7 linked regions of the Ovis aries genome follow. The protein of the gene in region 4 interacts with the protein of the main gene of each other region in a pairwise test. Links are inferred from orthologs where the notes say so. Each region holds a gene or a part of one and is shown on either strand. Other genes may lie near its edges.

Region 1 (3,598 bases), on a different chromosome or scaffold from region 4:
AAAGGAGAAATTGAAGAGGACAGTGAAGTGCTGATGGTGAGAAATGTTTCTTACCCGACAAAAACTTAATTCTCTGACTATTTACTTTGACCCCTATCCCTCATCCCAGATCCTGGAATCAAGTTCACCCCCTGATTCAACCATGTTTGTCTTCACCCCTCAGATGATCAAAACCCAAAGTTCCTTGGTTCCAGCTCTGACGGATTTTGTTCGGTGAGAACTTTGATGTGGGTAGAGGTGAGGGTGTAAACTGTGGGGTGAGCCTTCCTGGGCAGTCTGAGGGGACAGACTCCTTTGGGTAAGTCTTTGCTCCCCTATCGTTTCCACAGGTCTGTGCACCCTTATGAAGTGGCCGAGGTGATTGCATTGCCTGTGGAGCAGGGGAACCCCCCGTACCTGCAGTGGGTGCGCCAGGTGACAGAGTCAGCTCCTGACTCCAGCACAGCCCCGCTGTGATGAACCTTTGTTCTTGCCATGGTTTTCCTCATAAATTTCAACACTCCTACCTTGTGATGACTGGACTCTTTAATAAATCCCATTTTTAGTTCTCTCTTCCATTTTACTTTCTCCTTGTCAAAAAGTGAATTTGGTTGGGAAGATCAGAAGTGCTTCTAGTCCCTTTCTTCTCGTTTTTTGGAATGATTCAGGGCTGCTAAGTTTGTTTATTTATCTTTATTTCAATGATACAGAGCCCAGGATCTGTTCTTCTCCCCTCCTCAGTCTCCGTCCCCAGGGGTTAAATAATTTTTAAAAATATTTAAAAAGCTGTAACAAAATAACATCAAAGGAAATGAGGGAATGGTTGGGGGGAAGGTCAGGAACCGTGAAGGGAGTAGAGGAGAGCGAGCCTCTTCCCCAACCCCCAACCTGGATTCCAGCCTGGACAGTAGGGGGACATACCCCCCTAGTGCCCCAGGTACATCCCAGCTGTAGGTGAGGTCAGAGGTCAGGGTATGAAAGTGCCGGTGTGTGTCAATGGGCAGTTAGGCAGAGGCAGGCTGTTCAGAAGATGCCCCCACCTCCCCACTCAACCAGGTACTGCACAGAGCCATCAGGCCGCACTCTCCGAGCAAGGACCCGGACGGGATCCCCACGGGACAGGTAGCCGACCCCACCTCGGACTCCACCCCCAGCCCCAGGAGACAAACTACGGCACAGGGGAGAAGGGGGTGCTGAGCGTCTGGGAACACCTGGGGAGGGGGCTGGGACTGAGGAAGATGAGGCAGTCATCGAGTGGGGGGCACTTTTAGGGAGGTCTGTGGGGAAACCAATGTGAAGTTCCAGGGGTGACCTAGGTAGAGAAAGCAACTGTCAGTCCAGATGGAGATAAAACACTGACCAGAAATGGAGGCCGTGTGGGTCAGAGGAATAACAACAACATTTAAGGGACCACGAAGTGAAGAGGCCAGAGGCATCACAGGCAAAGGAGTAGAATCTCACCTGTCTGGGGGCTCACCATCCCCAGAGGCCCCTGCGGTGCTGGCAGAGGGGTGGAAGGAAGCGAACATCCGGATGGGACTGCTGGGGTTGGGAAGGAAGAAAGTCAGGACCCAAAGCCGGGGAATAGGACCCTCTCCCTCTGGGAAGGGCAGAGTGCAAACACTATCCTCAAGGAATCTGTCCCTAGAATACTGGGGAGCAGACCCTGGTTCTCAAAGTCTCTAGGTAAAGAAGTGGGCAGCCAAAGGGGAGAGGGAAAAGAAGTTTGGGTGAGGAAATCCAGAAGATTGTAGGCAACTGGAAGAGGTTCCAAGGGAGTGTGTCTGGTTGGAGGGAGGAGATGCACTGACCTGGGCAGGCAGCGGGCATCTGTGGGCCTGAAGTTGTAGCCGCTGCTGCCCTGGTAACTCTGGTTAGGGCTGGAGGGTGGTGGAGACACTGAGGCCTAGAAGGAGCAAAGGACTGAGAGATCATCCTTGATTCCTTCCCACACCACCATTTGCCCACGGGTGCCCCTGCCCCTGTACCTGCAGTGCCCTTTGCAGACGAGCCCGCTCCCTCTGCTCCTGGGGCTCGGGCTGGTTGCGCACTGCTGAGGGTGGCCCCAGCTCCTCCATTTTCCCCTTCTGCCTCCTCCTCAGGGGCTCTGGCTCCGGCCTCCGGCGCTTCCCCAGGGGACGTGAGACCCCTCCCCCAGGGCCCTGCCCTGAAGGGAAGCTGTAAGAGGCCTCCTTATCCCCCCAGCCCCCTCCCGGACACCCCAAAGACCTCCCTGTTTCCATACATACACCCTGAGAACTTCCCCATCCCCCCTGGACCAGTGACCTGGTGGGGGCTCCGTCTCCAGGAGGGGGCTCCACAGGGGGAGGGATCCGAGCATGGAGACCAAACAAGCATTTCCTCTTCTTAATCTCCCTCCCTGAAATGAAACTGGGATGAGGAGAGAAATGATACAGGGTCAGTGCTGGAGAAAAGGGACCCTCCTATGCTGTCAGTCCTTCTCAGAGGGCATCTTCCAGGTGAGCTGCAGCCCCTCCCTCTCAGGCTGCGTCTCCATCTCCTCCTGAGCCTCCCTCCAACTCACCGGTCCTTGTGGCTGTTGAGAGCGGAGAGGAGCTTTGAAGACCGTTCTCCCTTGGGGGTTTCTGAGAGCTGGGGGAGAGGATAAGAAATGGGGTCAGGAGAGCAGTGATTCCCTCACCCATTTTTCCACATCTCCCTGGCCACCCTGACCCCGAGAGGTTCACCACCCCTTACCTCTCCAAGGAGCAAACTGTCCCAATTCTCAGAGGTGAAGGGGAGGATCTCACGGTCAAAATCAAAGTATTTTTTCTTACAGCAAACACTGAGATGGTAGAGGACAAGATGCGCCACGTCGACCCTGGAGAAACACTGGCTTGTCAAGGTGGTGAAGCACTGCAAAAGCCAGGGGCAGGCAGGGGTGTCCCCCAGGTAGGGGGCTGGGGCCTGTAAAGTGAGAAACTGAGGGTGCCGAGAGAGGAGTGATGCTGAGATCGTGCCCCATATCCAGCTCACCAGCGAAGCTGTAGCCTCCGGACCTTCTCAGGGCCCCCCCGACACACACAGCACTCAAACTCATAGAACCTGGACGTAGGCAAGAGGGAGAGAATACACCTTTTACAGGAAACTACACCTGCCCACGGGGGTGGGGGTGGGGGTGTTCCGAGCAAGGATGGGGCTAACCAGTAGGCAAGGCTTCAGAGCTCAGGAAGACAACCTGGTCTGGGATGGGGGGCAGAGCTCCTGGAGGGTCTGCCCAGGCTCACCTGTCCCCGTACAGGAGGGGCTTGCTCAGACACTGGGTGCAGGCCTCGTGGAACCACTGCAGGCAGCTCCGGCACTGCAGCATCTTCAGGTTCCACCTGAAGTGAAACGGGACCAGTGACCCCCCAGACACACCCTCCTTAACCGCCCCAAACCCTGCTCACCACTCTCCCGCCCCCTTCAGCACTCCTACCACCCTGCCATTCTCCTTTGTTCCCACCCCCATCACTTGTTCCCTAGCCCCCCGCCCCTCACTACTCACTCCCCAGGGCCACCACAGTAACAGTAGCTCTGCTGGCGGTTGCTCAGATGTCCAGCGTCCCAGTCCAACCCCTTCAGTCCATATGGCAGGGAGAGCTTCATGCCCAGCATG
Region 2 (4,602 bases), on a different chromosome or scaffold from region 4:
CTGGGCAGACCCCCAGGCTCCTCACTGGCTTCCTCCCCCAGGGGAACCAGAGTGTGGGTCGGGGGCACAAACATACTGGGGCAGGGCAGAGTGAGGTCGGAGCCCAGCTCACCTGCCACTGGCAGCAATGCCTGCAGTTGCTCCACACCCGCCTCCTCGGGGACCACTGTCAGCTCTGACTCAGGCTCCACCTCAGCCTCAGCCTCCCTGTCCCCCTCCCCTGCCTGGTTCAGTTCAGGGTTGCAATAGTTGATGTACTGGTACAGGGGCCGCAGGCGCTGGGCCTTTCCTACAAGAACCCAGGGCAGGGCAATGACTGGAGTGCCAAGCTGGGCTGTGTTGGGTCCAGCTGGCTGGGACAAAAGGGAAGGCTCAGGAAATGCCACTCACGCTCAGGCCCCAAGGTCACTGAGGGTGCCGACACCGTGCTGGCCACCACTGGGAGCACTGGGGTTCCCAGACTCTTGCGCTTCTTGGTCTTTTTGTGCTGTTTGGCAGATGGTGAGGGCTCATTCTGATTATTCTCCGGCTCTTCCCTCTGCAGCGACAGCCCCTGTGGCAACTCACTCTCTGCCCTAGGATGGGCTTGGTGGCTCGGGCCTGTGAGGCTGGGGAACAAGGAGGCCTGAGGAGCCAGCCTGCAGCCTTGGCTCCTGTGCCCTGTCCTAGGGAACAGTCCTGCCTGCCTACCTCCCCAGGCCGTGATCCTTGTCCTTTTCCTGGTCAGTGAGGCCCTGGACTGGACAGGGACCCAGAGATCATGGGAGTTCAGTCCCCTACCAGGCCTTGAGACTTTTGCTCTGCATGTTCCCTACATCAGGGCTCTGGAGGGTCAGCAGAGGTGAGGAATGATGGTGGTGTCAGGGGATAAGGATGGACACTACTGTAAGGCCCCATTTAAGAATCCAACTGGGGTATGAGCCACCCCCACACCACCTCCCCAGTTCCCAGTCTCTTCCCTCTGAAAGCCCCCTCACTTGACCGGCTTCCTCTTCGGACCATGACTGGGCCTCACAGTGGAGGCCGTAGGCCTGGGACCTCTCTCCTCCAGGGCCTCCACCTCTGGTTTGTGCCTGTCTTCCTCCAGCTTGAGTCTCTCCTGGATCTTTGGCTCTGAGGTGGATCTTATTGGACATTTATCTTCATCCTGGGTTTGGCAGGCCTCATGGGCTGGCACCAGGCCCTGGTCTCCCATCACTGGACACTAGCGGTGACACACAGGTAACTGGTCACCATGGCCAGGTAAAGGATACAGGGACCAGCCATTAGACTCTAAATACTCTGGATGAAGGGCACCAGCCCATGCCCCTCCCAGCCTGTGGAACCTGGCCTGGCAGTTTTGGTCTATTAAAGCGCTATGACCCAAGTGTTTGAAGGTTAGACAGCCCGATGGTCACCTCAGAATTCTGAGCATGGCCACCAGGCATCTCTGTAAGCTGTGACTGCCCCACGGCTGCCCCTTCTTGGGCCCCTGGCCGCTTCTCAGCCCCTGCGGAGTCCATAGCTGCGGCGGATCAGCACTTCCTCGACGGTTGCTTGAGGGGCATTGGGGATGGAGGGCGGATCCTGAGGGGCCAGACTAGTAGACCCTGAGCGGACCCGGGAGAGGACCGGATTGGGAAGGGCAACTGACAGTCGTTCTGCTCCCCCCTCAGCTGGAACTACAGGCCCCAGAAGGCTTTGCGCCAAGGCCATTGGCCCCTGACCTCACGGACGGAAACCATTGTTGCCTGGCAACAGCAAACCCGTCGGGTGGCGGCAGTGGGCGGCAAAACCGCTCTGGTGAGCCCCTTGCCCGAGTGAGAAGCCTGCCAACGGTACTGAGAGGTGGGCTGAGAGCAGAGGTGGCGAGCGCAGGCCGGGGCCGGGAGGCGGGGTGGGGGCCGGGAACGCAGGCAGGGCACGGCTGAGGTTAGGACCCGGGGCCAGGGAGGAGGCACTGGGCTGAGAAGCCGGGTTTGGAGCCAGAGACGCGTAGCCCGGCAGGCCTCAGGTGCAACGTTTGCAGGACGGCGGCGGCGGTATGTGTGAGGGTCCGTCCCGCATCTCGGGGCCCATCCCCCCAGACCCTACGCTCTGTCCGGACTACTACCGGAGGCCGTCTTCGGGTGAGTTAGGGAGTGAAAGCGGCCTGGCAAGGGTCGGGCCCAGCTCCACCACTGACTCCGCACTCTGCCCCGTCTGGCCTCTCAGCCCAAGGGCGCCTTGAGGGAAACGCGCCGAAGTTGGACCTGCTGACGACGGATACGGACCCGGACCTAGACGCCACCCCTCCCCGCGCCCCTCGCATCCGTCCGGGAGGCCTAGAAATCCTGGAGCGTGGCCGTCGCGGCGTGGGTGGTGTGCTGCTGCAGCTCGGGGGTATCTCCCTAGGCCCAGGGGCCTCTCCCAAGAGTAAGTTCTGGTCAGAACGGACAGCGAGGCGGCTCTGAAGTCAAAACAGATAAAAAGACGGCTGCTTCCCCTTCCCTGCTCTGGGCTCAGGCTTTACCTCTCAGAGTGTCTGTTTCCCCAACTGTAGAAGGAGCGGGAAATGCACGACTTCTTCGCAGGAGAGGACTAAATGAGGCATACCCCGGAAAAGCCCGTAGCTCAGCTTCATGGATTTATGCATGGTTGGTTGTTGAGTGTCTGCTGTGCTCCAGGCCCTATGGGTGCTAGGAGAACAAGGTCGAAGAAGCGCATCATTGAATCAAGGTGGGAGACAGTAAAACAAGTGAAGAGGTGAATAGGATATGCAAGGTGATTACTAGTATACTTCATAATCAAATATGTATAAAATCATCAGAAACAGAAGATAATTATGGTGTGAGGACGAGAACAAGGTTATGTGGTGGACTTTAGAGTATGTCAGGGAGGCAGGGTGTGGGCTTGTGTGTCCACTGGGGTAAGTTGGATTGTATGGGCTGTATGTAGGGCAACATCTTTTCTCCAGGGAAGGACCCTAAAGACCATGAGAAGGAGAACATGAGGCGGATCAGGGAAATCCAGAGGCGCTTCCGTGAGCAGGAGCACAGCCAGGAGCAGGCCCAATCCAGGCCCCTGAAGGCCCTGTGGCGCTCACCCAAGTATGACAAAGTGGAGTCGCGTGTCAAGGCTCAGCTGCAGGTACCTGCCTCAGGGAGCCCCAAGTGTTGCCCGTCTTGTTGGCCAACAGGACATTATACTCTGACTTGAGTTATGAGGAGGGAGGAAACCCACAGTGGGCTGAGGTCACAGGGGATGAAGAGCTGGTCCTGCTGCAGAGTGGGGCTGTGGCCTTTCTCTGAAGTGATGACAGCTGGGTGATTCTGAGGGGCAAGTCGGAATTAGGCAAGGGGAGAATAGAGGAGAACATTTTATAGAAATGGAACCTTGTGGTTCCAGGGTCCCTGGTCCTAACACCAGGGACTTAGGAGTGTGGGCAGTGGGGATGCTGTGTTCAGTTCACTATGAGGGAGGAAGAACATGAGGTTAGGCTAAGAAGTCAGCTGGACCCACATCATAAAGGGCCACATAAATCCATTTTTTTAAACCTTTATTTCTAAGGACAATGGGAAGGGCAGGGGTATGTATGGTGGTAAGATTCTATCTGGGGTAGCTAGTGGTGCCACTTCTCTTTCCAGGGGTCTGAGAAGGAGAAGTAGGACAGAAAAAAAGACAAGGTCATATGTGGGTGTGTTGAAGCTGAAGCTTTTGTGGGGCTTCCAGGGAGTGGGAATGTGTCCAAGAGGCAGATGGAGAATCAGGTCTGGATCTCAGAAGTGAGACCCAGGAGCTATTGAGGACGAGGCTGAGGATAGTGAAACCAGGGAAGTGACCCTGGATTTGGGGGCTTGGAGACCAGCTGTTGGTGGCCTTGGTAGGGACAGAGCCAGAAAGCTTGACTAGGAAGGAGAGAAAAAGAGAACGATGACTGAAGCCAGGACTGAGGTAGAGGGAGGGAAATATGTTTTCTGAGAGATGTGAAAAACACACAGGTTTAAATGCTGATGTGATGGAAGTACTTATTCAAGAGGAAGGAGGCCAGGTCCAGAGGACTGGTGATAGAGAAAGATCCTGAAAGACAGGAGGGACAGAGGCATGGTCTTACAGCTTGAGACCCTGACTTCAGCCTGACTGACCACCCCCCGCTCTGCCTTGGCCTCCAGGAGCCCGGCCCTGCCTCTAGAACTGAGCCAGCCCACTTTCTGCGGGCCCATTCCCGTTGCGGCCCCGGGCTCCCACCACCCCGTGTCCCCAGTCCCCAGCTAACCCTACCAGGTCCCAATGCTAAGGTGAGAGGATATGTGGGGGCTGGGAGGTGGGGCAGGGATTCCGGGGCACCACACAGTGCTGTTTCATCATGCTGGCCATGTCCCGCAGGCCCCAGGTCTGGGTGTGGACTTCATTATGCACAATGCCCGCACTGCCAAGAGGGCCCCCCGGCGGCATTCTCGCTCGCTGCAAGTCCTGGCACAGGTGCTGGAGCAGCAACGGCAAGCCCAGGAGCACTACAACGCCACGCAGAAGGGTCACGTGCCCCATTAGTAGGTCCTACTGCTCCCCCCACTCCTGGGAAGGGGCACTTATGGAGGGTGGAAGCCCACGTCTGCCTAGGGTCATCAGCCCTGGGTCTGTGCA
Region 3 (3,856 bases), on a different chromosome or scaffold from region 4:
TTTGCACTATATTATTTTATTTTAATTCTGCTTTTTTAAAAAATTCAATTTCTCTTTCTTTAGGCCAGCTTAGTTAATTCTTGCTAGAATTGTGTTCATTTAAACCATACGCTTTACATTGCTTCTAGTTTTGGATTTTGTGCTCATAGGTTTGCTCTTTTTTTAAACTTTCTTGTATTAAAGTAGCATTTCAGATATTATGTTGATCAGGCTGAATGTTGAATAGTTACTGACTTCTGGTGAAATTCAGTGAAAATGCAAGCTTAGTGTTTTGGCATACACTATTGAATATTAGTCAAAATCACTACATAAATGAATTATGTTTACTGCAAGACAAACCATATGCAACTCTTACCTATAATAAACATATCATTTATACCTCAGAAAAATGTTTCCTGGATTCAGAGTGTAGACACTTTTGACCTTGACTTTGCATGTTCTGTATATTTAAACAGCTATTGCAGTGATTGAAAGAGTAAACAACGCATTCATTCCCAGCTCATGCTCTCTTTTATATCAGAAACAAAGTTAGTTGATGCCATTATACAGACGTTTATCCAAATGTTTCTCTACTTCATTTGAACTATAATTTCGCTTTTATAATTTTTATGAAAAACTAGGTCAAGAATTAAACACCCCATTGAAGAAAGATCCGTTTTCATCCTTGTTTCTTGGGTGGATGGGATAAGGTAGGGTTAGGCGAAGGTAGGAGGTGACAGGAGGAGGCCAGAGTGGTCCACCAGCATTGTGTTCTCTGACTTCCTCTTCTTAGTTAACCTAGTAATTGCCATGTTGAGAATCACATGGAGATGAATTGATGTGTAAAAAAAAATCTCAAATGATGAAGAATGGCGGTTTCTTTTGTTAATGAGTATATATAAGCCACCAAAATCCTTTTAAGATGTCTCTGAACAGTTACAAGGAAAATATTCTGAAATATTTGGTTTTAAATTTGGGGAGAGTAAATTTTAAAAAGCCATCTTATCTCCATTGGAACCTAAATTATCAATGATTTTTGGTGCAAACATTGAAATAGCTAAAACACAGCTTCCTTATGAGCTGCGTGAAAGAGATACACCAAAGATTGTTACACCAAAGATTGTTACTTTAGTACAGCTGAGCATCACAGTATACTGTGGCACCGCTATGTCAGACTTTGTTGGGGAGCTTTTTTCTACCATGCACAGATGAGGCTTTTATGTCAAATCAGTACTTTATGGTCTTTTAAACAGTCTGACTGGAATTATTCCTCCCTTACTGAGTGAGCAGAGTCTACACATCTGCCGCAAACAACTGAAAATGGTTGTACTTTTTTTCTTTATTACTTTGGTTGCTACAGATTGCCAATTTCTTACTAAAAAGCAAGCAAAAGAGTTTACATTTCTGCAGAACTTACTAATATACTTTAGCTGTGTCTCTGAATGTAGATTGGAAGGTGTGAAGTTTCAGAACATGAGCTGCTCATGTTCCATTTTGAAGGAGAGAGACGTAGCCTTCTCATATGGTTGAGCACCACTGCATTTGAACCCTCGGTGCCAGAGTCAGTGCTGACTGAACAAGTGCTCTATCATAGCCATTTATTGCAGGAGTTATTGACCTAAGAGGGGATAAGAATGCTGTTCACTCTCAGAAGCAGAGTGTAGACAGTGATTTATAAAAAGAAAAATGGTGCCAGAGCCCAAGTTTAGAATTTCAAGATCCTCATTGGAAATGGCCTTGATAATACTAACTGTGGGTTTAACCCTTATTCATTCAACTACCACATCTGCAAGAGAAGGTTGAGAATTAATCCATCACTCTTAATGGGGGTGTTTTTTGATATATGCTAAGAGTGATATTTATGAAGAATGAATTCCAAATTAAGGGAAGTTACACTGGTCTCCTGTTTGTGTTTAAATGGTACTGGCTGTACAGAAAAAAAAGTGTAACAAAGAAAATGTTGAACACCTGTTATGGTCTTTTATTTCCAGGAATAGTCCCAATAAGAAAATAAGCCAGCTTCCTTTTTTTTTTTTTTTGGTGGTAATGTCCTTTGGAGAATGTGATTAAACCTTTAGTTTTCACATTTTCAATTTATTTTTCCAAATTCAACAGACCCTGAAAATTTGACAACCTATCAGAACATGGACATTCTGATTAATGATTATTTTCAATAAAGCATCCAATACCATGGATGAGAAGATAAGAATAGTGAGCATCACCATTTATTACTATTCTCTCCGTTTCCAAAGTATGCTAAGTACTTAGTATATTTCTTTAAAGAAAATCAGGACAAAACAGAGGTTTGTTTATTTGAAATACTAAGTTATAGATGTTGCTTTGGGGTATTCCATTTACTGAAGAAATTATCCCATAGATTCTATAAAAACTGAAAGATAATGTTAGAAGTTGTATTGGCTTTGGGCTTACTTCATTTTGGACTGGTTTTGTTATCAGATCACCTTAAGATATTTCTGAAAATAAATATGTTTAGGAGAGAATTGAAAATTGAAAGAAGCAAATTTCTAGGTATTTTTCCCTCTTGTTTTAACACAGTAAATGTTTAAAATTGTTTATAATGCCTAACTTCTGATGGACTTTAGTTTCAATTTTGTTCTTAGTCATTGCAGATATTGACAAAATGTCATACGAAATTATTTTGTATTTTTTGTAGGACTGGGAAACAGAAAATCATGACTGGTATTGTTTTGAATGCCATTTGCCTGGAGAGGTGTTGATATGTGACCTGTGTTTTCGTGTGTATCATTCCAAGTGTTTGTCTGATGAGTACAGGCTTAGAGACAGCAGTAGTCACTGGCAGTGCCCAGTTTGCAGGGTGAGTACCTATGAGCTTTAATGTGCTGGTCAGAGGGTTGGAATTCATTGATAATAGCTGCACAAAGATATCCCAGGTGGTCTTGCCAGGTTAATGGATAAAGTACTGGAGGGTGGGGGTTATCTACTGAAATGATGGTTAATGAACATAGAACACTCATAAATGAATATCGCAGAACACATACTCAGGGTATGGATTTTAGAAAGTTTGAATCATGTAAAAATATACTCTCTTCTTTTTACAATTCCCTCTGAATTGTGTGACTCCTTTAATGGACAGGCTTTGGGAATCAAGAACCACTGTCCCATACCAAGGTCTGTTCAGTCAGTCCTCTTGGCTGCTCAGAAAACACAGGTAGCAAAAGGCACATTGTCAGAAAAGTTCTGTATCTACTTTCCATTTTATATCCATGTAATGTTGCCTTTATTTTTTTGTCATGTCATGGGTTTATTTCTTTTCTTTGGAGGGTGGAGGGATGGGACAGTTGTATATCAAGAATTCTCCAAAGTGAAATAGTCTGGTAGGTAAAATAGGTACTTCCCACGATTATTTTCATTCATATTATTTCCCTGTTGAAAAGTGTACATGATTGTGCTTGTTGGCTGCCGATGTGGTGTGTGTGTGTATGTGTGAGTAATCGCGATGCCTAGGTACCACGTGATGTATGGCCTTGATGGTGATCAGTCAGGAATTATTTGATTGGAACTTGTATTGTTTTGTACTTAACTATTGTTAATATACTCGGAATCATGCAAATTGCCGAGATTACTCATGGGTTCTGTTTGTGAACATGTTTTATAGTACTTGTATAACTTAAATATTCATTTCTTCTTCAAAAAAGTTATGTGTTTATCTCCTCTTTGATGCCAGCCAAAGATCATCTGGTTCATTTGCCAGCATGATGAGCAAACTGCAATGTCCCTTCTAGTCGTCTTTTAGTGACTGTGGCTTTGTGTTACCTGAGTATGTTTCTTAGCAGCCCTACTGTACTTGTTTAGTAGGCAGACAGAAGACTGTTGGTATAGCATTTTAAATACATGT
Region 4 (4,287 bases):
TAGAAGGGAAACCTGGTCTGGCCACTCCCTACCCACATGGCTGGCTCCGGGGAAGTGTGGGCTAGCCCACGGAGGTGGGAGTCTCCGGTTGAGCTGGAGCTGTTGGCTCCCAGAGAGGGGATGGGGAACTGGCAACTACTTCCTTCTCTGGGATGAGGAGGACACAGGAGGGACAGAGGAGTCAGAGGTGGAGACAGAAGCAGAAGAGACCTGGGGATGGGGGGCAGCATGTGTCTGGAGAGAAAAGCAAGGAGGCCCAAGGGACCAAGGAGAGGAAAAGCCAGGGGGCTGGACACCACACGGAGTAGGGGGTGAGTCAGCCTGAGGGCTCCACTGAGCAGCCCAACCCCCAAGTCCCAGACGTTACCTCATCTCCCAGGCCTGGGCCTCCAGCCAGCCCTAGCCCCTCCCTCTCCTCCTCCATGCTAGGGTCAGGAGAGAGGGAGGGGGCCCAGCCCAGCTCCGAAAAGACCACCCTCACTCCCACCCACCAGGGCCTAGGTCCAACTCCAGGGCTGGGCTCAGCCAGTGGCCCCACCCACATGCTGGGGCTGCTGACAACAGAGCCCAAGCTCAGAGTGCCCCCAACAGGCCACATCTGAAAGTCCATCCCTTAGGCTGCTTTGTTGCCCATCCCCACCAATGAATAAACTGAGGCTCAGAGGTCAGCCAAGCTCCCAGCCACACTGACCAGCACTTTCTCAGGAAGTGGAGTATAGGATGAGTTCCCAGAGATGGCAAGGCTTGAGTATTATGTATGGGCTGGGTGTAAGTAGTAGGGAGATCAGTGCCCTTAGCTACCTTGCTGGCAGAGCAGCTTCCAGGAAACCCCGTGGAAGGGTCCCTTGGAACAGTGACTGCTTGCAGGTCCTGGCCACCAAGCCCAACTACAACAGACTCTACCTTGGGGCCCCCTCAAGCTGGGATCTCTAGACCCCTCCAGGCTAAGCCTGCCCTGGGCTTCATGCCAACAGCTGCCCACCAGGAGCCTGGGTGTGCCTCTCTGGTCAAGGGGATATGGGGACAGAAATCCCCGCCCACTCCTGACCCCCAGACTACAGTCAAGAGACACCAACCCAAGGGCTGGCCTCACCCTCTCAGGGCAGGCACTTTGTTCTCCGAGTCCCACAACTGATCCCACAGTTGTAGCCACAGCCTGATGATCGGCTGAGGGGCCCACTGATGGGGTTCAGGGTTCCAGGCCTAGGCCAGCCTTCTTTAGTTCTGCAGACTCCAGCCACCAGTTGACTATCCCAGCATGGGGCTGCATTCTTGGGCTTATAAGGCAATCCCCCTGCCACAGGGAGGAGCCAGCCTCCAGCTCCACCCCCACCAGGACAGGCTCTCAGGAGTTGAAGTCAGAGCCCTAGATACCCAAACACCACTGCATCCTGAATGGAACCAGTGAATGGGATAAAAGTCCTCACCTGGGCTGGGGAGAAGCAGAAGCACCTTATCCACCCACAAAAACTGCAGGCCATCCCTGTGTTTGAAGCCCCATGCCTGCTTTGCCATGGAACTGATGAAAGAGTTCCTTCAATGAGTCTTGAGTTATCTCATCTGAATAAACAGGGTGGTAGTTGCTATTCCTTAGGTGGCAATGAGGATGAAGTGAGCTCCTGCAGTCAGAGTGCCCTCCCAGGGGCCTAGCACCAAACATTGCTCCTCAAGCAGTTTATAGATACTTCTTGGAGACCGCAGGTTCACCTCCTGAAGAATGGGCACACTCCTGAGCCTAGAAGGTGCAGTGTAGAGCTGTGGAAGTCTGAGGGCTGCTCCCTTCCCAGTATCTACCGAGTTGGGAGTCCTTGTGGCAGATGCCCACAGCTCTGGACCTGGACACCTCCTGGTCTGTGACGTCGGCTCATTCCTGCTCAGACTCCTCCTGCCGCCCACTGGAGATCTGAGCACCCAGAGACCCCCAGAGGAACCCTTCCCTCAACCTAGGCTCACCCGGGAGATGGAGAGGGGTACATTGAAGTCCTTGCCCCCCTGCAGCCGGAAGCCCCAAGGTGCTGGCCCCTCCAGCACCACCTTGAAGGAATCCATAGTGCTGCTCCTGAGAGGAGAGAAAAAGTGAGTGATGCACAGTGGGTGCACAGGCAGGCCCTACTCTGGACACCAGCCTTGGACTAGCGCCAGGCAAGCACTGGCAGACGCTGAGCACACCCAGGGGGAGGGTAGGCGGGCACCCTGTTAGGTCGCGCTGGGCTGCTAGCTGGCAGACTCACTTTGGAAAGACAGGGGCAACCCCCCTTCCCCAAAGGACTGGGGCGGGGGGTGAAGGGAGCCCGCATCCACTCATAAGGTTCCTCTCACCCAGGAGTGGACAGCAGGACTACTTTGGCATGACTTCCTTCCCAGCCAGTCTTGAGCCTTGGTCTGGACAGCAATGCCAGTCCAGGGCCGGCACTCCTCTCCCCCGCCCCCAGGTCCCCACAGGCAGGCCTCGGCTGGAGCCTGCTCGGACTATATAAGGCGTGTAAACTGACACTGTTCGGAGAGAACACGGGGGCTTGGGCCGCGAGGGGGAGGGGTGCGGAGGGAGGCGGCTGGAGCGAATCCTAGCCATTCCAAGCCCAGTCGAAGCTACTGAGAGCCAGGGCAGGACCCCTGGGAGCGCTGGGTTCTGGGCGGGGGCGAGGCCCCTGGAGGGAACGGTGGGGGCTGGGACTCCAAAGCACGGTCAGGAAAAAGATTTATCCTGCAGCCCAGTGAGGGTGGTGCCTCCCACACAGGACTGCTACCATCCCAACGTGACTCAGTTTCCCCCTGGGCCTCCGCCTGGGCCCCAAGCACTGGCCGAGTCCCAGGCGCAGGAAGCGGCGCAGGCGCCAATCAGCCCCGCCGCAGCCGGCTTCGCCGCAGGAAGGCGGGGGCGGGGGTAGGGGCGACGGCCCATCGGAGGAACTGCAGAGCTGGCTACGACCCCCAGCCCCCTCTGTGGTCCCCATTAGGCCTCTGCCCCCCGCCTGGTCCGGCCCGAGATGCCCCGCGCTGTCCCAAGTACCTCCTGGGCCCCACCGGGGCGCTGCTCCGCGGCGGGCTCCAAAGAGCCGCGCTGGGATCCGCCGCCCGAGTTCTGACCCCGCCCCCGCGGCTGCCATCCGCTTTGAGCCCGCGTAGGGGGGCGGAGCCAGATGCCCCGCCCCCTCCAAAAGTCGCGGTCGCCCGGGCAGTGGGAAGCCCTACCCAATCCTTCCGCCCCACCCAATCATCAGGTCCCATCTAGCTTTGGGCTCTAAGACACAGCCCTCCTTGGTCCCGTCGGTGGGGCGGGGCCTGGACGGAGTCTGGGCGGGGTCTCGGCTGCTGGACACCTAGTCTGGGAGCCTAACCCTCCGCTTTCCTGGCCCTTTGCGCCTCCAGCTGGCTGAGTGAAAAGAAAGTCTACTTGGGAACCAGACAGATCTGGATCTGAGTCGTCTGTGAACCTTAGTTTCCAACTCAGAAAAATGGGACAATACTACTCGCTTCACAGGGCCGTCGTGAAGACAGGCACAGTTCGCCGTAAGGTACAGCCATCGGAGGCTCCAGAATTTCTAAATAGGACGGATTTGGTGGAGAGTTGGTGGTGGTGGGGGGGACCTCGAGGTGGGCTTAGTTGAGGAGGACACGGGGGAGCATGAAGTTGTTTGCAGAACATTCCACCGAAGGCAGAAAATGACAGTCGACACAGGTGTAGGGACCCTTGGCTCTGGCCCCAATCGTTACTCATTCCTGACCTGTTCCTACCACCGACCCCTCGCAGTCAGCGGCCAGCAGCCCAGCCACCCCACCTAAGTGCTGACTGTCTTGATGAGGTATGTCCTGCTACCCGCTCCAGAACCGGCAGCGCCTCCATTGAGGGTGTCAGAGTCCCCAGTTTGACCCAGTGCTCAGCCCAGGCGGCTAGCTCAGGCAGCGGGGGAAAGTGAGCAGGGATCCAGGTTTGCGAGTGAGTGAACAGATGTCCACGCCTCAGGGGATGGCCAATGCTGTTCTCCCCTCTCCACTATTATCATATTTCATCCTCTTCTGCATCAGTCCCTTCACTACATAAACTGATGTAAGAGTTCTCATCTTTAAATAAATTTTCTCTTGATCTCACAACACTTTTCAGCAATCTCTCTCTTATTCTTCTATTTTCCCTGAGGGTAAAATTCCTTGGAGTTGTCTATTACCCTTCCTCCCCGTTTTTCCTCCCATTCTCTCCTGAACTCATTCAGTCAAGCTCTTGTCCCCACCAGTCCTCTGAATTAATTCCCTCTTCAAAAGGTCTCTAATGATTTCCAGGTTATTCAATCA
Region 5 (4,449 bases), on a different chromosome or scaffold from region 4:
TAAGACTCAATGTGCAGACATGATGTGAGGACCAAAATAAACAGTCACAAATATAAGGCACCCAATAAAGTATCTGTCCCACTGCAAAGGCACATACTAGATGATAGCCTCCTGCCTGTCTCCTATAGGGACACACACCCATGGGTCTTTACCAAAAAAAGAGATACTGAGCCTGCTTCTCCCTTGAACTAGGATTTAGCTATCATCCCTGAGACGTCAGGAGTGAGGAGAAAAATCAATGTTCTATCAATGAGTCATCATTTAAAGCAGGTTCCGGAGCTGCCTCATGAAGCAATGAACTCCCAGACAAAGGAAGAATAGATGTTTAGTAGAAATGGGCTGACAGCAGTGAGGAAGGAGTAGGATTTCTGTGCATCAAGCAGAGGGCAGAACTGTGTCATCACTAAAGCATCTTCCTACTCCTGAAATCTGTGATTCAGCAGTGAGTTGCAACTGAGCGTTCAGACAGACCATGTCACTGGGACAAGCACACTTACTTCATTTCCACAACTGCAAACAGGGACATACAGTGACCCTGGCATTGTCTAAGATCCTGTGGCTGAAAGACACTGAATTTAAACCATCGACTACAGGAGCCTCATTTTACTTCCCAGAATACAGTGCTATGCTTTACTTGAGGAATATGTGATTTTTTTGAGACTGTATCATCTCAGATCAGTTTTGGAAACCAAGGCCTAAATAATAAATACCTTAAATGAGATTATCCATGGAAAATTGAAAAACCGTAAGTATACTTACAAACGTTAAGTATCATCATTGCTAACTTTCAATATCTTTTTTAAATATTGTGCTATTGAAAATAGAGATTTTAAACAATTTTATACCCTCTAAAGCCTCTAATACTGCAATGAACAAACTAATGAATTCATCTTAACAGTTTTCTAATTGGCTTGGTTTTAAGTATCACCATGGAAAAAGGCTGTCTCTACACTGAGTGCTTGAAAGGTCCAGGTCAGAACTGGCAAAAGCCAGAGGTGGGATCCTGACCCTCCGGCTCCACCCTCCGTAAACCGTCTCCCTGGTCCCTTTAGAGCTGGAATGTAAGAAATTCCTTCTCTGGCCCAGCTTCTATCTATAAGCATTTTCACTTTCTTGTCCCAGAGGCCTATGCCAGCACGTCTGTGGGGACTCGGCTCCCCAGGCAGAGCCAAGAAGGCATAATCGCACTTCCCAACTCTGCAGACAAATGACCCACCCACTCACTCTTCCTGCTGGACCACTGCTGTCCCGTAAAGCCCTCCGGAGCCGGGCCACCTACCTCCAAGCACTTCGCAGTCGCTGTCCATGCTGTCATGGACACCCGCAAAGATGTTGGCCAGAGTGGACTTGCCCACCCCCTGCTCCCCGATGAGAACCACCCGGTAGTAGGTGTTCCCGGACTCGGAGGAGATGACTGAGTCCGTGGAGTCGGAGGACCAGCTCCGGCGGCAGGGGTCCTCGGGGGCGGTGGGGGGACGGCTGCGCTGGCCGTACTGCGGGGGCTCCTTCTGGACCATGAGATGCCTGCCATCGGCAGGGATGCTCCAGCGCTGCTGCTGCGGCTGCACGCCCGCCGTGCCCTGGCGCATGGTGACATGGTTCAGAGTCATCGTCAGGTCCTGGAAGGCAAAGCAGCCAAGATGGTAGCATCAGGAAGCATGAGTTCAGGGAGCTCGAACACAGTCATCAGTGATATTTTAGTATGTGAGGTTACCAAGTAACCCTCACACAAGGAACACCAGTGAAGCAGTCCCCAAACCCAACAGGCTTTCAACTGAACACACACACACACACACACACACACACACACACACACACACACACACACAGCAGCTCCTCAGGGAGACTGTCATTTGCAAAGAGGAAAAGGTACCGTTAATATCGCCCACTGCCCTGGGGCTTCCTCCATCCTCAAGGAAGCCTGGGGATTCCCCACTCAGAGCGGGCACAGAGGCAGCCAGAAGGCACGAAGAGCCTCTAGAGAAGGCTTGAAAAGCAACAAGTTAATGCAGCTGGGGACCAGCTGGCCAGGTTAGCCGCTGATGTCTAAACATGGCACTTAAGTAGCAGCAGCACCCAGCAGGCTTTTATGCCTCAGTGGGGAACACGTGACAATGACATCATCCCCCCCGGCTGGATTGGACCAGGGCTGATTGGAACTTCCATGTTTAGTAAAGTTGCCCTGATGCCTGAATATGCTCTTATTTGAGGGGGAGAAGAATTTCTGCAATAGGTATATGCCTCACTTCTGCCCCCTGCCCACAGATATCACATTTAACCCATCCCTCTGCCTTGTCCTTCTGGCAGGGAGAGGACCTGCTCACGTTCAGAGCTGTCAAACTTGCAGAGACAGTGCTTCACTCTTTTTAAACTCTGTCCACTCCAAGAGTTCCTTTCCATCAGCTCGGATTTCCACCTTCCTGAAGCCAATCAGGTCCAAGACTCCCTCCAGAAAGACATTCAACAACGTGGCTACAGCTTGGCCTTTCTCAAGACTGCCTCCCCTTGCCCGGTGGTCTGGACTCCCAGACTCTCAGACAGAAAGCAGAAGCAATCTCATTTTCAGCAGCAAGATGCACCGGTGAGCGAGAGACCCTCCCCTTCCCGCACGCACTCCCCAGAACCCCAACACGTCGATGACCCTAGCCGCGACCCTCACCTCGATGACCCTGATGACCGATCGGTTTGTAGGTTTGTTTTTTTTTAATCTTACAAGCAGCGCCTCCGGTAGGCCGACTCTTCAAACAACCAGTGCCTGAAGTATCCCTGACGGCTGTCCTCCGACCACAGTCTGGAGGAGGAGATGACCCTCCAACTGAACTGCACGAAAGCAACCCGCCACCGCCGAATGGCATCCTTCGCCCCTTAAACTCTGCAACACCCCTCACCCCCCCGACCCCCGATCGAAAGACCACCGCGCCGGACAGCAGGTCCGGAAGGTTCTTTTCCCCACTTGGAAAGTTCTCCGCGGGCTGCGGACGCCCACCCCTTCCCCCAGTCCTGCCCCCCGCGCCTCTCCGGAGGACCCCGCTCCCCGCCGCGGGCTGCTCGCCTTACCGGGGGTGCGGCTGAGAGCGGACGCGCGCCGCGATGCGGGCGGCCGATCGCGGGGTGACTGCGCCGGGTGCGCCCGCGCCCGCGCCCCGCGGTTTATACGCGCGCGGCCCGGGCTCTGCCGTGACGTCAGCGCCCCCGCCCGGGGTTTGGGGGCCGGGCGGCTCTGCAGCAAGCCCCGAGGGGCAGCCCCTTCGCCAAATCGGTGACTCGCCGTCATGTGACCCCCGCCTCTCTCCCCTTTTAAAAAAAAATAACGACAGTTGAATCCCGGCTTCCTTTATTCTGGTTTGTTCTTTTGACCAGGCGGACGCTGGAAGGGGGCAGACAAAACACGAAGTGCCCCTTAATTGCACTTTCCAGCAAAACAGTTCGCGAGCTGTCCGGATGAAGGATGGAGGAAGAGGCAGGTTGGGATTGGAAACCCAGTTTCGCCAAAAGAAAAAACAAAAACAAAACAAAACAGGGGGCTACAGCCCCATGGAAGTGTTCGGGGCTTGTGTCAGCCGCATCTTCTGCAAGGAAAACGGCCTCTGCCCGCTCCTGTCGCCTTCCCGGTGAATGAGGGAAGGAGGGGATACCCACACTGCTTGTCTCCCTTCTCTGACCGGGACCCAGAGAAAAGGGGCCAGAGGAAGGTGGGGCAAGGGGGCAAGACCTTGAAAAGGTCTTGAAAAAATAGCTTAAGTAGGGATCCAAGCAGACTGTGCTCAATGTGGCTAGCCCTCCTGCCCTGGACCAGGACGCTGAGGCTCCTGGATCAGGGAATTTAATCAGCATCCCGACTAGTAGCATCTCCTGTACCAGGCTCCCTGGCATGGCCGGTCCTGGCCGTGGGGCCAGGGCCTCTGGCCATGCGAGGAGCCTTAGCCTGGGTTCCAGTCCCAAGAATGATGCCTGTGAAAAAAGGGCACAAGATAACAGAAACAGTCACTTCTATCATTTACTGAGTGTCTCTGAGTTCCTATATTTAGTAGGTACTGTTAGACCTCTGCAGTATCTCAAACTTTACTACAATTCTGCAAGGTGAAGATACTGCTGCTCCCATTATATGGAGGAGGAAAATGACCCCCAAAGTCAGAGAGCTTGCCCAAGGTCACGCAGCTCATGTATGTGGCAGCATCAGGACTTGAAGCTCCGCTTGCCTGGCTCTTTGCACTGTGCCCCCAGCTGGAGGGATTCAGTGACCTCTTTGGCAGGCCACGGGCATTTCCCAGACACTGTGTTTGGAGGTGACACTGGCCTTTCCAACACACCCATCTGCTTTTCCAGCCAGCTGCATCTCTGGATGGGCTGGTGGCCCCGGAAAACAGCCAGAGGCACCAGCATCTATTCAAGTGGCTGGACCCTGCTGTGAACAGAGTCTGTTCTCTGTTACTCTGCAGCATTTTCATG
Region 6 (4,469 bases), on a different chromosome or scaffold from region 4:
CATCAGAGATGATTTTTGAGTTTCTGGCAACACCCTGGACAGTGGTGCCATTTACCAGGATAAGAAAGATTAGAAAGGTGTTAAGATTGGTGAATTTTTGTGACTGTTATTTTTGTTGTTTAGTATGGTTTTCTACTCTCTGTTTGCATTGTGTTGGTGGGGAAGCAAAAAGGGAGGAAGGCAAACATTAACTAATCCATCTAGGCCAGGGTATATCAGCTATGTTACCTGTTTAAGATTGAAACCCTAGATTACCTTGGTTTCTAGACAAGTGACATTTGTATAAATGAGGTACCTCTGAATACTGTTTTTCTCTATCATGTTTGGGTATATAAAAATTCAAATATATTGCCCGGATTAAATAACCTTTAAAGTGTTTTCAAAATCCATACTATTTTATCTTTACATCCTACTGATAGTGACATAATACTAATACTGTCCTTAAATACCTATCATAGGTTATACAAGGCTGAATAGAGTTCCCTCCAAATTCATGCCCAACCAGAACCTAAAAATGTGCCCTGATTACAAAACAGGATCTTTTCAGACGTCAAGTTAAGTTGAGGTCTCACTGAATTAGGATGGGTCCTAAATCCGATATGAATGGTCTCCATATTTATAAATGGGGGAACTTCACAGTGTGAAGATGAAGGCAGAAATTAGTTATGCTGTCCCCAAACAAGGAATACCTGGGTCTACCTGAAACTGGGAGAAGCCAGAAAAGATCCTCCTCTTGAGGCTTCCAAGAAAGAATGGCTTTGAGTAAACCTTGATTTTGAATTTCTAATCTCCAGAACTGTGAAAGAATACATTTCTGCCATTTTAAGCCATCTGTTTGTTGTTCAGTCACCAAGTTGCGTCTGACTCTTTGTGACTGACAGGCTCTAGTCGGGAAGATTCAATGAGATCAGACATTTGAACTTATTTAGCTTAATACAGGGCATAGAGTATATGTTGAATAAACATCCGTTTTCCTTCCTCTGATAATGATCACCACCACTGGTTGTGTTTTATAAGTAAACCATACCTCTACCCAATTTAGGTTAAGTCTTACCTCTAGGCTTATTTTACAGCTGAGGAAAGTGAGGCTTGGGAAAGTTAAATAGCTTGCTCAAGATCACAAAGCTAAATAGGGAAGAGTCAGAGCTCAAACCCAACTGTCTCACCACCAAGATGAGATCCCAGAACACTTGCCTCTCACACCTGCAACATTTTAGCAAAATGACAGAGGAGAGGCACAAAGTGTTTTCAATGTCTGCAGTTCTCTCACACATTTGTTAACAAATTTAGGGATCTAGTACAATTCAACTTTCCCCATTCACAGAGAAGCACCATATAACCCAGTGCTATCAGTGAGGTTCACTTTCTACTGCTCCCATCAGCAGTGCTTCTGCTTTGCACATATGAATTCGAAGTCAAGGCATTATCACCAGATTGGACACTTATGGTTTTAATTTAATTAAATGCATTTTTCTCAAGTTTCTCCCATTTCATTTTGATGATACTGACTCATTCTTGCCACCTAAAGAGACGATAAAAATAAGTACTGTAAGCACGGAGGGAAGTGTGTCTAAACTTCATAGTCACAGATGTCTGTCCTTTACAAATCAAAAAATAAAAGCACATTCTAAATTTACCTTTCCTCCTTAACTCAGTGAGTTGTAGGTCTGAATAAATCAGACATACAAATGTAAGGTGCAAAGCTGTTATTATGCAGTTTCAATTTCATAGAATTCTAGTGTAGGGGGGACTTCTAAAAAGTGGTGTGGTTCATCTGGACTCAAGTAAGACCTGCCACCAAACCCTAGAAAGGAAAAGGATGCTCTGAGAGGTTTTGAGAGTTACCTAAGACCCTATATCTATTTTTTGGTGGAACCCTCTGGAACACCTGGTTTCCTGATTTCCCCAAAAGTATATTTATCCTTCTAAAGCTGTCATTAACTATTAACGACGACACTGTCTTCTGGCTTTGTGCCAACTTTTCTTTTTCTTTATTAATTTGGCCTTTAAAAAAAAAGAAGAAGAAGAAGAAGAAGACCACTATAGATAACATCCCAATGCTTCAAATTCCCTTAATTGACATTTAATGTGGAATTACCCTGCGTCCCAGGTTTAAAGCTCCCGATATGCACACATAGGTTCAAGAATGGCCAATATGCTTCTCCTTCAACCTGGGCACTGATAATCTCTGGACTTTTCAAGTTTATCCTCCAGGAGGTTAACATCGCAGGCAATTTTGACGAGAGTTTGGAACCGAGATTCTCTTCCACGCTCTGTCCACACCCGTGCCCACGAGCAGAAGTTCTCTCCATTACAACCCACCACGCGAGCGCGCGCGCACACACACACACACGCACACACACACACACACACACACGCACACACCAAGGCAAGTAACAAAGGAAAACAGTCCCATAAAGCCTGAGCTATTGCATTCTCCAATCTACACCTGTCAAGAGACAAAAACCAAACGGGAATCCTTCCCTGGCAATATGTCCAACACTCCTCAGAGAAGCAGGCACCGCGGCACCCCCGGCGTGCGGGGCTGTATACACAAAGAGCCGGTGCTGGGTTTGCCCGCGGTCCGGGGGACCAGCGCATTCCCAGGACTGGTATTCTGGTATCTCCCCCATGCCCTCCTGCTCAGCAGAAAAGAACTACCCTTTATTTGACCCGCAGAGAGCCCAGGCTGGATGGCAGTGCATGGGCGTGGGGGGCGGGGGGCGGTTCCCGAATCCATCCCCTTCAGCCAGTCGGTCCCCAGCCTTTGGCATCTCCTAACAGATGCACAATCGCGCGCTGTCACAGATGTCCGCTTCGCATCCTCTCCCGGCAAAGCCAGGTGCCGAGGTCCCGCCGTGCGCATCCCCGCAAGCGCCCCTCCCGGCGCCCGTACCCACCCGGGCAGCCCTGCCGGGCGCGCCTGCCTACCTGGTGGCTTGGCTGTCAGCACGGCGGCAGAGACGCGTCCCCTTCTCCTCCTCCGCAGCTACATCGCTCGGAGCGCCATGTTCCCGGTCTCCCCGGGCGCACGCCGGGCAACTACTACGGGCTGGGTAGGGGCAAAGGGGGCGGGGGCCGGCGGGAGGGGCCGGAGGCTGAGCCACAGCTTCCCACTCTCCACCCAGGCCTCCCCCAGCTACTGAGCATGCCCAGCTGCCCGGCTTCGCCCTGGGAGGACTTTGCAGGAGCGCGCGCAGCTGCTCCGGGTTTTCGTGGCTGCCGGAGGGAGGCTGGCAGTAGCAGCTGCGGGGGGCGGGGGGCGGGGGTGGAGAGGTTGCGCGGGGCGGGGGGGGGAGTGTCTCACGCCGTGGGATCTGAACTGGAGAAAGCCCTTCTCGCTGATCTGATCCCACTTTCCCTCTGCCTTCCACGGGCAGCTCCTGCACGCCCCCTCCTCATACACACTGTGCAGAAATTTTGTGCAGAGCTTAAGGGGAGAGCAAAGGGCGAGAGGGCGGGGCCGAGAGAAAGGTCCTTCCGCTAGTCTTGGTGCTACCACCTGGAACCTTGCTGCTTCAACTTCAAGGTGCCTAGGGATTAAAATGCAGATTCGGAGTCGCTTGCTCTGGACTGGGGTCTGAGATCTACAAGCTGAACAAGCCCCCAGGGGATGCTGATGTCGCTGTTCCTCTGACCACGTCGAGCAGCCGAGATCTAGAGAATCCCTCTCCTGTGACCTTTAGGTGGCCCTCCTGCAAGCAGCCAGCCTAGAAACATTCTCTGGCTCCCACAGAAGCCGCTCGACCTACAGACGGCTTGGCGTCTAACAGGTGAAGATACCCTCGGGATGTTGTGCCCAACCCTGGAAGGAATCTCAGTAGCACTGAACTCTGAGCACCCACACAAACGGGCTACTTTCTGACTTAGAATTTGAGCCTTAGGGAAAGCTGGACCTTGTCATGCTCTCTTTGCTAGTTGGATAGCACACTCGTTGCCAGTTGAGCCTCTACTCAAGTCTGAACCACCTGACCTGCCTTGGCTGTTCCCAACCTTTCCTGATCTGGGACAAAAACTTAGACTGGGCATCAAAATGTTAATTTATTGGGCATCGAATGGTAAGGCTGGGCTTGCCAGTTAAGTAGACTGACAGACCATGGTAAGAATAGGGTGTTTACCTAAGATGACAGGGCTTTCAGATGAGTGATGTTTGGGTTGAAGCTTGCAAAGATATCTTGTAGTTCATCTTAAATCCCTGGGTTGCCCACTCCCTTCCCAATCCCTGAAGGCTCCAGCATTGTCAAAAATATTCAGTGCCTGTGGACAGAGTAGGGAAGAGAGGGTGGGACAAACTGAGAAAGTAGCACTGAAACATATATATTGCCACATGTAGACTGGATAGCTAGTGGGAAGTTGCTGTAATAAAGGAGCTCAGTCACGAGCTCTGTGACAGCCTAGGGAGTGGGATGGGGTGGGAGGTGGAGGTGCCCCTTCAAGCAGGAGGGGCCAAGTGTGTACCTATAGCTGAT
Region 7 (3,856 bases), on a different chromosome or scaffold from region 4:
AGCCGAGAGCCGACCTGGGGGGCGGGATACCTGGGCAACTTCGGCCCCAGAGCACAGCCTTTAAAACCTCACAGTAACCCACAGACACCTGAATCTTCAACATCTCTTCCTCCTGCTCCTCCCATCACCGCTCACTGAAGCTCAGATGAACGGGGGTTAAAAGACTGGCCCAAGGGACCTGAAGTGAACAGGCATGTTCGTGTACAATCCCACAGGTGACAGTGGGTTTAAGTAGACAGAACACAGGTGCCCTTTCAGTTAGGAGAACAAAGAAGGAGTTGTCGAACTTTTATGCCTCTTCAAAGAAATTCTGTCCTGCAGTCATGAATCTGCAACTTGGGAACAAGGAGCACCCGGGGGCTGGAACACAGGGCCTCGGGCTCTGGCTACCCAGCTCTGGCCAGCACATGACTGCCACGGCAGTGGTCTAGGGTCAGTGCAAAACGGAAGGTTCTTCCCATCCCTGGAGACCCATGGGCCACACGAGGGGGCCTAGCTGAAGATGGTGCCCTGGGATAAGGGTGTGAGCCTCTTTCTCTGCGGCCGGCTGTGTCTCTGCCCCCACTTCCCAGGCCCCACCGGCTCCCTAGCGCTTTCCACTCACATGATGTACTCTTCCTTGTTCTCCTCTGTCACTCGGATGCTCTCGCCCCCTTCCTTCAGCTCGTGGGTCGTCACCTTGCCCAGGATCTCCATGTCCTGGATGAAGTACAGCTCTAGGCCGCACTCCTCCAGGTTGTTCTCTCTGGGAGCACAAGAGACCAAGAGGGAAGGTGTCTGTCTTAGAAGGGTTCCCTCCGTCCTGCCCCGTCACTCACTTTCAGTGCCGGTGGGACACGAGGACTCACAGGTGGCCTGGAGCCCAGAACAGCGTCCCAGGACAGGGGGACCTAGAAGCTGGGCATCTCCACCCGCCTACTACCCATCCAGAGACCCCTCCTCTCCCAGCAAACGGCAACAGAGGGGACCCACTTGATCCAGACAATAGAGTTGTAGAATTCGGGGTCAATGGATTCCAGGTCTTTCAGGGTTGGTCTCTTGTTTAGCATCCGCTTGTAGAAAGGAAGTGTGAAGCCTGTATCAATGAACTTTCCATGGTACAGAGCCTGGGGACAGAAGAGACATGGCAGAGAGGTCTGGTTTTCCTCAGATGCCCCATATCAGAGCCCAACTACTGCTCCCTGAGGTCCTGAGCATCCAGCTCTCCCAGGAGCCTGAAGGCTAGGTCTGCAGCCCTCTTGGTCCCACCTGCAGACCACAAGGACCCACCTCTGACCCACTGCATGCCCACCAGCCCCTCGCTCTAGCAGAGGTCTACCTCCACCCACACAGAGGAGACTCGCTCAGCACAGCCCCAGGTGGCGGCCCTGACTCACTGCTGCTCCGAGCTGGGCAGCAGAGGCAGCCAAAAATAATGCAGACACCCCTGCTGCTGCTGGCGGGCCAGCAGTGAGTAATAGTCTAGGGTTTTACTGGTCTGTCCTGTCAGCCACAGGGCCAGGCGGGTCTCTAGACCTGGGAAGAATGTGCCCACTTCCTGAGCCCTAGCACCTTGGCCAAGAACCTCCAGACAAAGAGAAGGAATATACTTAGTCATGGGCTCCTGGGTCCTCCTGAGAGGGGAGCAGGGCAGACACTCACTCAGGAAGTGAGGGGAAGAAGCAAAGGCAAATTAGCCGTGAAAGCTCTTCAACGACCAAATGTGGCAGAGGGACCGGGCCTTCAAAGGGCTCCCCTTTCTCCATCCTGGGTCTCAGTGCTCACGAGGTACTCAACAGGATGCACACGAGGTGACGCCCTTTCCAAATTTACACTGTGCTCCCGTTTCTACATAAATACAAACGCCCGACTCCCCATTCCTTGCCCTTCCCTCCTGCCAGATGACTCCAACATCTTGCACCAGTCGATCACCTTGCTCCCTGTTCTCAGCTAGTGTAGATTCCCCATCCCCTTCCAGAAGGCCCAAGTCTCAGTGGGACACTCCCAGACACCGCCACCCAGCTCATGGCAACACCCAGAGACGGGCCCGTCATCCCCCACCCTTGACAGCACATGCACTGAGTGTTAAGTGAAGACTTTAATCCGGGGACCCTGGGCTTTCTCTTGACAAGTCCTACACAAATCAACGTGAAAACCTCCTCAGTGCCCTAGGGTGGGCACTGAGAGAGCTCTGGACTATTTCCAGAACTCTCACTAGCTTTCTGCATCTTTAGTGAGGCGTTCTGTAAGGATGAGGGTGGGGCTCAGAGAGTGGGCACCCAGTCTCCAGAGCTGCTGGTGGTCTACAGGTCTGTGACCACACTCCCTGGAGGTCTGACGACAGCCATGAATCTTACCATGGCGATGAATCGGCCGATAAAGCGGAAGTAGGTGAGGTGGTCAGGGTTGATGGAGGAGGCAGGGTTGATCTGCAGGCAGTAGTTGTTCTTCCCGGCATATTCAAATAAACAGTACATGGGGTTGAGCACCTCATGGGACAGGAGGAAAAACCACTCTCTGTGAGAGAAGAGAGAGGAAAACAGGACTAATGGACCACACCCTGCTCACCTGCTCTGCAGGTCCGAGTCTTTTCTGCCGTCAAGTAGTACCTAGTCTGGAGACATGCATCCTGAGGAGGCAGCCCCACTGGGATCAGCCCTGGGCTAACCTCTGTGAGCAGCTGGTCAGTGAACAGGGCAGGGCCAGACCTAGGGTGAATCAGAACAGCAACTGCCCTGGACAGCAATGCTCAGGCACACCCGTGTGTGTGAGTGTTGGCTCCAGGTGTGGTATTCTGGGGCTTTCCGCCTGATATCCAGAGCATCTAATGGCAAAGGGGCTCCGCCATTCTGGGTTGCCATGCACAGTTGTATAGACTGCACACTGCACAAGGGTGTGACGTTAAAATATGACAGATGTGTACATTTGTCACAACAAATTTCCTGCAAATAGCATCAAGCTGCCTTTTTTTTCCTAATAAAAGCAGTATATTGTGACCATTTTCCAGCACAGAAGTGTCTTGAGAAAGGACACTTTTTTTCTAAATCTTGCAAAAGGGCTCTATGAGCAGCAGTCACCCTGCTTCCAGCCTACCTAAGCAGTCTAATACGAATACACAGTAATGTGCTCCTAATCCTTGATGCGGGACAATTCTGTTCATCAGGCTGTGTCTACACCTCGCTCCCACCACCCCACCACCCCTTCACCCCAGACCCACCACCATACCCTTCCCTGTATGTCCACGAACTCATCTGAACCAACGCCCACACCTTAGCATCTCTTTGCACCCCAGGTACAAGCTTCAAGCCAGAATTCAGAGTCCTTTGAGGCTTGAGCTACACAAGCAGGGGGACGTCCCAAGGGGGGCAGTCCCTGGCTGCTGGGCTGTTTGTGGCCGGGCAGACGAGGAATCTCTTCGATGCAGAGGGTGCCCCGGTATCCTGTCCGTGGTTCTACCCTGTGGTAGAACAGCATGACGTAACCTACCATAGGGTAAAACCACTGGCAGGACACAGAGAGACAGACACACACGGGGCGGGAGCCACACCACCAAGGAGAGCCTAGAGAGGAGGTCACCACGGTCACCACGGAAAAAAAAGAGCAATCGACCCACGGGGGCCAACACAGAGGGCAACGCCACCAGCACACAAAGGACCGGGAGCAAGTTAACCCAACACCAAGCGAGAAGATGTCCCACACCAAGAGAGGTCGGCAGGCTGAGCGGTCACCACAGCCAAGACGCTCCTCCTCTCTGCCGGGGCCCTTATGCCCCATCATCCAAGGCAACATTTTGCCAGAGAATCTATTAACTTTTGTAGCAGCACTGGGGTGAGGGCAAGACAATGCTTTGAGTTCTTTTTAGGAGTATACCATTTGT

The links.
Region 1: the proteins of PDLIM7 (region 4) and PHF1 interact in binary tests that used the Homo sapiens proteins (3 or more experiments, as listed by UniProt). The two-hybrid records come from large-scale screens. The link is inferred for Ovis aries from reciprocal best matches to the Homo sapiens genes PDLIM7 and PHF1.
Region 2: the proteins of PDLIM7 (region 4) and ENKD1 interact in binary tests that used the Homo sapiens proteins (3 or more experiments, as listed by UniProt). The two-hybrid records come from large-scale screens. The link is inferred for Ovis aries from reciprocal best matches to the Homo sapiens genes PDLIM7 and ENKD1.
Region 3: the proteins of PDLIM7 (region 4) and ZMYND11 interact in a two-hybrid assay, tested with the Homo sapiens proteins (2 studies listed by BioGRID). The link is inferred for Ovis aries from reciprocal best matches to the Homo sapiens genes PDLIM7 and ZMYND11.
Region 5: the proteins of PDLIM7 (region 4) and GEM interact in binary tests that used the Homo sapiens proteins (3 or more experiments, as listed by UniProt). The two-hybrid records come from large-scale screens. The link is inferred for Ovis aries from reciprocal best matches to the Homo sapiens genes PDLIM7 and GEM.
Region 6: the proteins of PDLIM7 (region 4) and PAK5 interact in a two-hybrid assay, tested with the Homo sapiens proteins (2 studies listed by BioGRID and IntAct). The two-hybrid records come from large-scale screens. The link is inferred for Ovis aries from reciprocal best matches to the Homo sapiens genes PDLIM7 and PAK5.
Region 7: the proteins of PDLIM7 (region 4) and WWP2 interact in binary tests that used the Homo sapiens proteins (3 or more experiments, as listed by UniProt). The link is inferred for Ovis aries from reciprocal best matches to the Homo sapiens genes PDLIM7 and WWP2.

The regions. Positions count from the first base shown.
Region 1 is NC_056073.1:7,745,530-7,749,127, reverse strand, and holds the end of PHF1 (PHD finger protein 1), read right to left. Parts: coding exon 3,488-3,598; intron 3,324-3,487; coding exon 3,228-3,323; intron 3,046-3,227; coding exon 2,977-3,045; intron 2,822-2,976; coding exon 2,698-2,821; intron 2,593-2,697; coding exon 2,525-2,592; intron 2,371-2,524; coding exon 1,968-2,370; intron 1,886-1,967; coding exon 1,791-1,885; intron 1,522-1,790; coding exon 1,441-1,521; intron 1,292-1,440; coding exon 1,003-1,291; 3' UTR 658-1,002; downstream 1-657. Other genes in the region: protein CutA, read left to right, coding at 1-36, 110-213, 330-456. UniProt on the Homo sapiens protein: Polycomb group (PcG) that specifically binds histone H3 trimethylated at 'Lys-36' (H3K36me3) and recruits the PRC2 complex. Involved in DNA damage response and is recruited at double-strand breaks (DSBs).
Region 2 is NC_056067.1:34,775,453-34,780,054, reverse strand, and holds the start of ENKD1 (enkurin domain-containing protein 1), read left to right. Parts: upstream 1-1,722; 5' UTR 1,723-1,782; exon of another isoform or gene 1,783-1,827; intron 1,828-2,008; 5' UTR 2,009-2,023; coding exon 2,024-2,108; intron 2,109-2,193; coding exon 2,194-2,394; intron 2,395-2,935; coding exon 2,936-3,108; intron 3,109-4,130; coding exon 4,131-4,256; intron 4,257-4,344; coding exon 4,345-4,508; intron 4,509-4,602. Other genes in the region: C14H16orf86 (uncharacterized protein C16orf86 homolog), read right to left, coding at 1-289, 391-638, 978-1,204, 1,398-1,502. UniProt on the Homo sapiens protein: Microtubule-binding protein which regulates microtubule organization and stability. Promotes the stability of astral microtubules and facilitates the proper orientation of the mitotic spindle.
Region 3 is NC_056066.1:46,464,948-46,468,803, reverse strand, and holds part of ZMYND11 (zinc finger MYND domain-containing protein 11), read left to right. Parts: intron 1-2,094; exon of another isoform or gene 2,095-2,139; coding exon of another isoform or gene 2,140-2,190; intron 2,191-2,653; coding exon 2,654-2,815; intron 2,816-3,856. UniProt on the Homo sapiens protein: Chromatin reader that specifically recognizes and binds histone H3.3 trimethylated at 'Lys-36' (H3.3K36me3) and regulates RNA polymerase II elongation. Does not bind other histone H3 subtypes (H3.1 or H3.2).
Region 4 is NC_056058.1:36,698,231-36,702,517, forward strand, and holds the start of PDLIM7 (PDZ and LIM domain protein 7), read right to left. Parts: upstream 3,085-4,287; 5' UTR 3,011-3,084; intron 2,060-3,010; 5' UTR 2,050-2,059; coding exon 1,954-2,049; intron 1-1,953. UniProt on the Homo sapiens protein: May function as a scaffold on which the coordinated assembly of proteins can occur. May play a role as an adapter that, via its PDZ domain, localizes LIM-binding proteins to actin filaments of both skeletal muscle and nonmuscle tissues.
Region 5 is NC_056062.1:82,966,143-82,970,591, reverse strand, and holds the start of GEM (GTP-binding protein GEM), read right to left. Parts: upstream 3,127-4,449; 5' UTR 1,910-3,126; coding exon 1,874-1,909; intron 1,620-1,873; coding exon 1,280-1,619; intron 1-1,279. UniProt on the Homo sapiens protein: Could be a regulatory protein, possibly participating in receptor-mediated signal transduction at the plasma membrane. Has guanine nucleotide-binding activity but undetectable intrinsic GTPase activity.
Region 6 is NC_056066.1:2,811,602-2,816,070, forward strand, and holds the start of PAK5 (serine/threonine-protein kinase PAK 5), read right to left. Parts: upstream 3,050-4,469; 5' UTR 2,932-3,049; intron 1-2,931.
Region 7 is NC_056067.1:36,516,115-36,519,970, reverse strand, and holds part of WWP2 (NEDD4-like E3 ubiquitin-protein ligase WWP2), read right to left. Parts: intron 2,497-3,856; coding exon 2,337-2,496; intron 1,107-2,336; coding exon 973-1,106; intron 746-972; coding exon 605-745; intron 1-604. UniProt on the Homo sapiens protein: E3 ubiquitin-protein ligase which accepts ubiquitin from an E2 ubiquitin-conjugating enzyme in the form of a thioester and then directly transfers the ubiquitin to targeted substrates.